Linked DNA regions of Arabidopsis thaliana. The protein of the gene in region 1 interacts with the protein of each later gene in a pairwise test. Each region holds a gene or a part of one and is shown in the gene's direction. Other genes may lie near its edges. The genes, in order: AT1G18780 and MYB2.

What was found.
Region 2: the proteins of AT1G18780 (region 1) and MYB2 interact in a two-hybrid assay, tested with the Arabidopsis thaliana proteins (one large-scale study listed by BioGRID).

The regions. Positions count from the first base shown.
Region 1 is NC_003070.9:6,475,463-6,479,249, reverse strand, and holds AT1G18780 (RING/U-box superfamily protein), read left to right. Parts: upstream 1-2,014; coding exon 2,015-2,992; downstream 2,993-3,787. Other genes in the region: RKD1 (RWP-RK domain-containing protein), read left to right, coding at 139-399; AT1G18773 (acyl thioesterase-like protein), read right to left, coding at 3,596-3,637.
Region 2 is NC_003071.7:19,373,757-19,378,065, forward strand, and holds MYB2 (myb domain protein 2), read left to right. Parts: upstream 1-2,228; 5' UTR 2,229-2,527; coding exon 2,528-2,684; intron 2,685-2,775; coding exon 2,776-2,905; intron 2,906-3,006; coding exon 3,007-3,541; 3' UTR 3,542-3,787; downstream 3,788-4,309. Other genes in the region: AT2G47200 (uncharacterized protein), read right to left, coding at 4,128-4,309.

The DNA.
Region 1 (3,787 bases):
TTTGCATTTTTTAGTTCGCCAAATTTTCTTGAAAATTTGATTTTTGTTGTTTTGGAAATGAAAACGCTATATAAAGCCTTAATGCTATGGTCTACCGATTTAGTGAATTTGATGTGACTATTTTTATAATTGTAACAGGAGCTAGAGAAGATGGAAGGGGAAGAAAATGAAGATAAGCTAAGAAACGCTTTGGAAAAGCTCGAGAAGGAGAAGAAAACGATTGAGAAGTTACCAGATTTGAAGTTTGAGGATAAGACAAAGAGATTGAGACAAGCTTGTTTCAAGGCTAACCATAAGAGGAAGAGAAGAAGTGGCATGTCCACGCCCATCACATCATCATCTTCTTCTGCTTCTGCTTCTTCTTCTTCTTACTCTTCTGTTTCGGGTTTTGAGAGATAATAGGTGCTCGATGGTCTTTGATGAAGAGGTATGAGAAGATGATGATAAAGAGGTGAAGGATCTCTTATGAAGTTTCTCTAGTGTGGGTTCTTCTATTTGTTTGTGAATGTGTTGTGTATGGTTTATTGTATTCGACTCTAAATTACAAAACGTTTTTGACTCATTAATATTAAAATTACTACTAATATAGTAAACGATCTCTCTCTCTTTTTTGTTTGTCTCAATAACTTGTTAGCTAGCTTTTCAATCTACTTCTTTAAAAACACCTTCTTCATATTTTGACCCGAATGCATAACTTATGTTGGTTAATATCTATGTTCACGTAGCTTCGTAATTCGTATAGTAAATTTGTATCAAAATTTTGGTGTCAATGGCAGTAATTTAGTACAACAAGAACAACAAGAATTTTGCTTCCAATTCTAGAATATAAGAAGATTGCTTAACAACAACAAAAACAATAAAGAATCACTCTCTTTATTTATGCTTTAGAGATCTCAAAACTAAAACTCTCAAGTTCTCTCAATCCCATAAACTCTCTTAAGGTTATGTCTAAACTCGACATCTATTAGGAATACAATTATATTTAGATAACTGCTAAATATATAAATCATAATCCTACTTTGAATAGCTTATGATTCCAGCTAATTCAAGCTTATCCAACAATTTATTATTCGAGTTGCTAAAATAAATATTTTAATTTTTTTATATTTTGTGAAATACCGCAAGTTTGAGAAAATTAGAACGACTATGAATGTAAATTTGATTTAGGAATTATGATTACTTATTTTTTATTTTGCATTCGATTTTTTTTTTTCTTTATTTTTGGGACCTAATTTGGATAATGTTGGGTAACATAATAAAACTGATATAAATCAAAAGAGTTTTGAAAAGATAAAATTAAGAAGAGGAAGAAAAAAAATTACAGTTAATTAGCCGATATCTATAAAATAAAATATATTGACTAATTATATACTATATCATTCTTATAAAATATATGATTCCTAGACAACATTTCTTACAAAAAAAAAAATGCATAAAAGGCTAAAACTCCCATGCATGAGTACTATGTACATTATAGCGCAATAGCTCTGTGCCTCTGTCCTGAGTTAGTTCGGTTGCTGCAGTCACCAAATATACAGAGACTTATTCAGTTTGGTGGATTATATAGCTAAATAGTTTCAATGGAGATATGAATTACAAACCTGGTTGTAAGAAGTTTGACTAAACTTTAAATCTGGAACCCAATTACTTTGATGATGATGATGTAAGAAAGTGTGACCAACTTTTAAGTACTAATTTTTTTAATCAACTATATATTTTTTTGTCTTAATTTATAAAGTTTTTCAAGCTTAAAAGGAAATTGAGTTTAAACGTCAATAATCAGATTAACAAAAACAATTAATTAATTAATTGTTTGCTAAATTATACCCAAAGAAAAAAAAAGGAAAGTAAAAGCTTAGGAAAAAAACATACACCGTTTGTAAATTAGGAAAAAAACAATTACAAATGTAAACTGATATCAAATCCCAATAGTATTAGATTTTCTACTAAAGATATATATATATATATATATATATATATATATACCATCGATCTAGGCCTCTGTTATAAATACATGAATGAATTACTTCAAGAGAACCCTAAACGGCTAAACATAATCGATAAAATTTATTTATTCTTGATCGTTCTCGCCATCATGATTTCATCCTTCGCACATGAAATTGAGCACAATCCTGTACCTGAAGATGTTGGCATAATCAATATCAGTGTTGCTACGACCAAAATATATCAAAGTATCATCAGTAATTATGATCTCTATGATGAACTAACATCAGAATTCTCTTGTATCCCGGTTTCTTTACGCGACTGTGTTGCTGTAGAGCTTACTGAATTCTTGACGGGATCAGGAAAAATCACTCCCATCGATGCTTACCATGTGTTACTAGAGTTGTTTCGATTCGTCGATGAAATAACTTCCTCTGATGATTATACTCCAGGTTGTGCTTTAAGAGTGTTGATGACTCTTACAATCGCTATTCCTCCTGAACATATTGAAGAAGACGTTCTAGGTTTAGAGGATGAGCAAGACGTTTACGGAGAAGCATCTTCATCTCAGTTTGAAGAAGTTGTTCCATTCTACGGGTTGCCATACTTCAGGGATGACTACAATGATTACTTTCCTTACGAAGAAGCATCTTCATCTCAGCTTGGAGAAGTTGTTCTATTCCACGGGTTGCCACACTTAAGGGATGAGCACCATGCTAGCTTTGGCTTCGATCATCAAATTGAAGAAGCGTCTCATTCTCAGATTGAAGAAGTTTTTCAAGTTTCGTTCAATGAGACCAACACTGTCAGGTTAAAACCTGCGAGCAAGCTCACTGTCGGGGCTTTGAATAGGAAAACATACAAGAAAGCTAGTGGTGTTGTATGTGAGAATGACGTGTGCACTATTTGTTTGGAAGAGTTTGACGATGGAAGAAGTATTGTGACTTTACCGTGTGGGCACGAGTTTGACGAGGAGTGTGTTTTAGAGTGGTTTGTGAGAAGTCATGTATGTCCATTGTGTCGTCTCGAGTTGCCATGTGAAAGATAAGGGTGAAGAAGACGAAAAGGTCACCAAATTTTGTTTAAAGCTTTACGATTTCCAAAATCATAGTTTAGTTTTCTGCAAACTCTTTTCTATTGTTCTTGCTCTTGATTCAGTTTATAGTATTGGACTCTCATTCAAGAATTATAATCAGGTTGATACTAAATTTTTATTAAATGATTTCACGATTTTACAGATTTTTGTTAATCTGTAAACATTTTGCTCTCGATTGGATACATCTCAAATGGTGAGAACCACGTGAGGGCTCTAACCATTTTTTAAGTTTAAATTTTGCTTTTATCAAACTTGAGAACTTGAATTGATGTCATGAAGTTTTGTCTTCTCCAATGGTGGGGTTCTTAAACAAATTTAAATTTTGTAAAACAATGCATATATGTTTGCTTTTACTCAGTACAAAACATTGAAAATGTACAATCAATCAAGAGAGTACTAGAGACATTACAACCAATGAACAACATTGCACAGAGATAGGCTATTAAAGTCGTTGCACAAGCTTGAAGTTACTTACAAGGGGAACACTGATTCGACGCCCACTCCAGCTGGCTCTCCTCCACACTTTCTATTGGAGAATCATGTTCATCACCTTCTTCAGCCTTCTTCTACATACTCTTCTCTTAATCTCAACAAGTCCTTCATATAACAAAAAGGCACTTGTTAAAATGCATATGCAGAACATAGTAAGGAACACATTATCCAACTAGCTCCAACTCTTGGCTTTCTGCTTTCAACAGCCAGTGAAAGAGAAACACATTGCAGTTATCAAAGTCTTAAATGCAATTT
Region 2 (4,309 bases), on another chromosome or scaffold:
AGTTTTAATTTCTTGTCTTATCAAACAGGCTTTAAGATTGTTCTTGAGTAATATGCAATTTAGCAGTAGAAAAAAACAGTGAAATATTCCTTCAACTCATAAATCAATATAATTGACACAAAAGACCGGTCTTATTTCATGTCAATAGAAAATGGTATTTTCTCTCGTGGTTTGTTACTTTTCTGTTCTTATAAGGCTAACCTCTAGTGGGGATGCAAAGTTCTAGATTTAGACTTGTTCGTTAGATGACTAGGTGGTTAGAATTTAGATTCGCGTCGTTGTTTACTGTGTTCGGGATAATCGTTTTTAGTTGGGATTTGTCTTCGCGGGTTCATCTATCCTTTGCTCTACTCTGTTTGTGGTTAAAGATTCTCTAGTCCGCGATCTTCGAGCTCTTATTTCCGCGAGTTTTGCTCTCCTCCGACTTTCATGTTGATCTCATGAGCTTATCTTCTTGATTTTAGTATATTTTCTTGTGGTCCCATGTATCGGGCTTTTGTTTTCGGGGATTTCTTTATTTTCTGCCGGCTATGTTGTACGAAAACGCATTCCAAAACTGTATTTCACCCATGTATTATATAATGAAAATCTTTCAGTTAAAAAAAAAAAAAAAAAAAAAAAAAACTAGCTTATTTGGGTTGTCGTCTATATCACATATCTAATCGATGTAACAATTCACTGAATCGGGTGTTACAAATAACATTTGTTTTCTTCACTAAAAGTATAAGATACTGGTACAACGCGAAATCTAACCTATATTCGAATCAAATGACACGTCATCACTTGGGTGTCTATTTGTCCACAGTTGAAAGTTATAAGAAGCAGACAAGTGTCTCATAAAGACATCGAGATCTGATTCGGTTCTCAGGTACATACAGTTAATCGGGAGTGTTGCTTTCCCCTAGAACTATGGAGGCTACTATTTAAGTGTCGTTGTGTAACAAAAATCCTGTGTTTACTTGCATTACTTAAACTCCTTTACTTTAATAGTTTTATATATGTTTTCGACCTCCCTTTTTCGACGGAGTGGATCGCTATGACATGTAGGCATCTGATTGTATTTGCTAATCTGTTTTTGTTAGTATGTTAAATTTTTAACCCAATATATGTTTATAGTGCTTATATATTCTTACTTTAGTTACATATGAATATATGATCATTGATGAATTAAACAATATAATGTAATAATTAAATTTGATTTCCCTGATCGAATTATAATTTATATGTTTTGTAATACGAATCAATTAAAATATTTTCTTGTTACACATTTTGATAAAATGTCGTAGAACGTTACTTAAAAGTAATGATGCATTAACAAAATGTACAACATATATTATAAAAGTTATCATCAATATTATAGGCATTCGACTTTCAGAATGTGTATCAATAATCGAAGTAGTAATGGAACGATTATTGAAAGTATACTACGGTCTCTCTTTACTTCATCGTGGATTCTCATTAAAAACAAAAGTACTTTCTCTACCGGCAACTATTGAAAGTATATTATTGTTTTTAATAACTTTGATAGTGTTTCTTAATTATTAATCCCAACGTACGATAAAATTTTGTTTGATAAAACTCACAAAAGTTTAGTATATTTCTGTAAATATATGCATAGAAGTCATAGTGATTGACAGAGGAAAGACGTCTCTTTGACTACTCTTCAATCGAAAACAAAATGTGCTAAAATTTCAAAAGCAAAGTCCCTAAACTCGCCTAACTCCATTTCTCATTTGACTTTGCCTTAAATGTCAATAGTCCTATGTTATTTAGCTACATTCAAAATTGGGAATTAAGAATTATTTTAGACTCCATATACTTAGAAACGAATCCGTATTGGAAACTAATTTCCATTTAGTAATAGTATTTAAGTATTATTATGCTTACCGAGTAGCATGTAGTAGTTTCTTAATGTTAGCTAATTTCAAAGCAAACGACGAATATTAAATCGTGATTGCACACAACAAGAAGTGATTAATAAATCATTAATTTCGCCCATAGTAATCACTAACCAGAGTAATTTTGAACAAGACTAAGGATGTACAATAACTTACGTCTGCGATACTGTGTGGTAATAAATATAGAAACTTTATGAAATAGAACTCTCTTACCAAAGAAAGAAAAAGCAAGAGTGCGTGTTACTATACATCTGAACAAGTCAAAGGGTCAAACCTTAGTATTTTAAAATTACACAAACAATTGACCAAATGGAGAGCTAATTATGTTTAGCATAATTTACTATATAGTTGCAAAATTCCACTTTAGAAACAGAATAAAAAAATAAAAATTGAACATAACACTTATGCCGTGTTCCAGTCACTCTTCAACATTCTACTCATTTTCAAATATCCTTTTTATAAAATACTACTTTTAAAATTATTTGATTCTTATGTTCCTTCACTATATATATATAAATATCGCACATTGCTTAATCACTTCAAATCTAATCCACAAAACCATTCACACCATCTCATCTTCTTTCTCTCTATCTCTTTTCCTTTCCTCATTTAAAGTTTCTTTATAAGAAATGGAAGATTACGAGCGAATAAACTCAAACTCTCCAACACATGAAGAAGATTCTGATGTACGGAAAGGTCCATGGACCGAGGAAGAAGATGCAATCCTAGTCAACTTCGTCTCTATCCATGGCGATGCTCGTTGGAACCACATCGCTCGTTCCTCTGGTATCATCAAAACATCAATCTCTAAATATACATATACACAAAGGCTTTATATATAGATAAACTTATATATATTTTACTCATATATGTGCAGGGCTAAAGCGAACTGGTAAGAGTTGTAGATTAAGATGGCTTAATTACTTACGTCCAGATGTTAGAAGAGGCAACATCACTCTCGAAGAACAATTTATGATCCTCAAACTCCATTCTCTTTGGGGCAATAGGTACACACTATATATCTCAAATGTTAATATTTTGCTATTCTATATGTTACTAGTTAAGTATGTTATTAATATATGTCTTTTTTTTCAATTGAATATATAAGGTGGTCGAAGATTGCGCAATATCTACCGGGAAGAACAGATAATGAAATAAAGAATTATTGGAGAACTCGAGTCCAAAAGCAAGCCAAACACCTAAGATGCGATGTTAACAGTAATCTTTTCAAGGAGACTATGAGAAATGTTTGGATGCCGAGATTAGTGGAACGAATCAACGCCCAATCATTACCCACCACGTGTGAACAAGTGGAGTCAATGATCACCGACCCAAGTCAACCAGTTAACGAACCGAGTCCGGTCGAGCCGGGTTTCGTTCAATTCAGCCAGAATCATCATCAGCAATTCGTACCGGCTACGGAATTGTCAGCAACGTCTTCGAATTCTCCGGCTGAGACGTTTTCGGACGTTCGAGGTGGGGTGGTGAACGGGTCAGGTTATGATCCGTCGGGTCAAACGGGTTTCGGAGAGTTCAACGATTGGGGCTGTGTTGGTGGGGACAACATGTGGACTGACGAGGAGAGTTTTTGGTTCTTGCAGGACCAGTTCTGCCCCGATACGACATCGTATTCGTATAATTAAGGAAATATACGATTACTATACGTAACGAGGAATTCAATTGCGTCACGTTTGGTGTAATATTCATTCGTGCGTGATGCCAATTTTAGATACGGCCTTGGTATACGAATCTTGACTTAATTATTATCTTTTCTTTTCCTCTCTTGTTTTAATCCCCTGATTAAATTAAGATTTGATCATCAGACGAGGATATTTGTGATTCACTGATTTGTGATATTGATATATGTGAATTATTTGATATAACGTTTTAAAAACCAACAAAAAAAAAAAATCATTCCAAGGAAAAGTTCTTAATTTTGATACTCGAAAAGAGCGTAGACTGACTCGAATCAGTTCATATTTTCTTTGGTTCGTTTTATTTACGACAAAATTCACTAACAAAAATTAAAAAACGACAAAACGAAAATATGACTAAATTTATTTTTTTGACAGTTAACCACTGATTATTGGTTCAAATTGTCACAACACATGATTTATCTTGATAGAAATTTAGTAGTCCAGAATGCTGCATGGTTGATCCTAAGAAAAACAAATCATGCAAGGACCAAGGACTTACATTACTTAATTATACTTAAACGCTTTATAAAATTCACATCAAGTGATTCCTGACGATGATCCAGTAAAACCCTTCATCCATATCGTTGCTTCCACACGTAGTTTCGATAATAAACTCGTGATTATCGCCAAGATGCGATGTATCAACCACTGAAATTCTCTTCCTTGTCACGTTTTCGTCTCCGACGATATTTCTGTAAAGTTTCGCAGCAGACG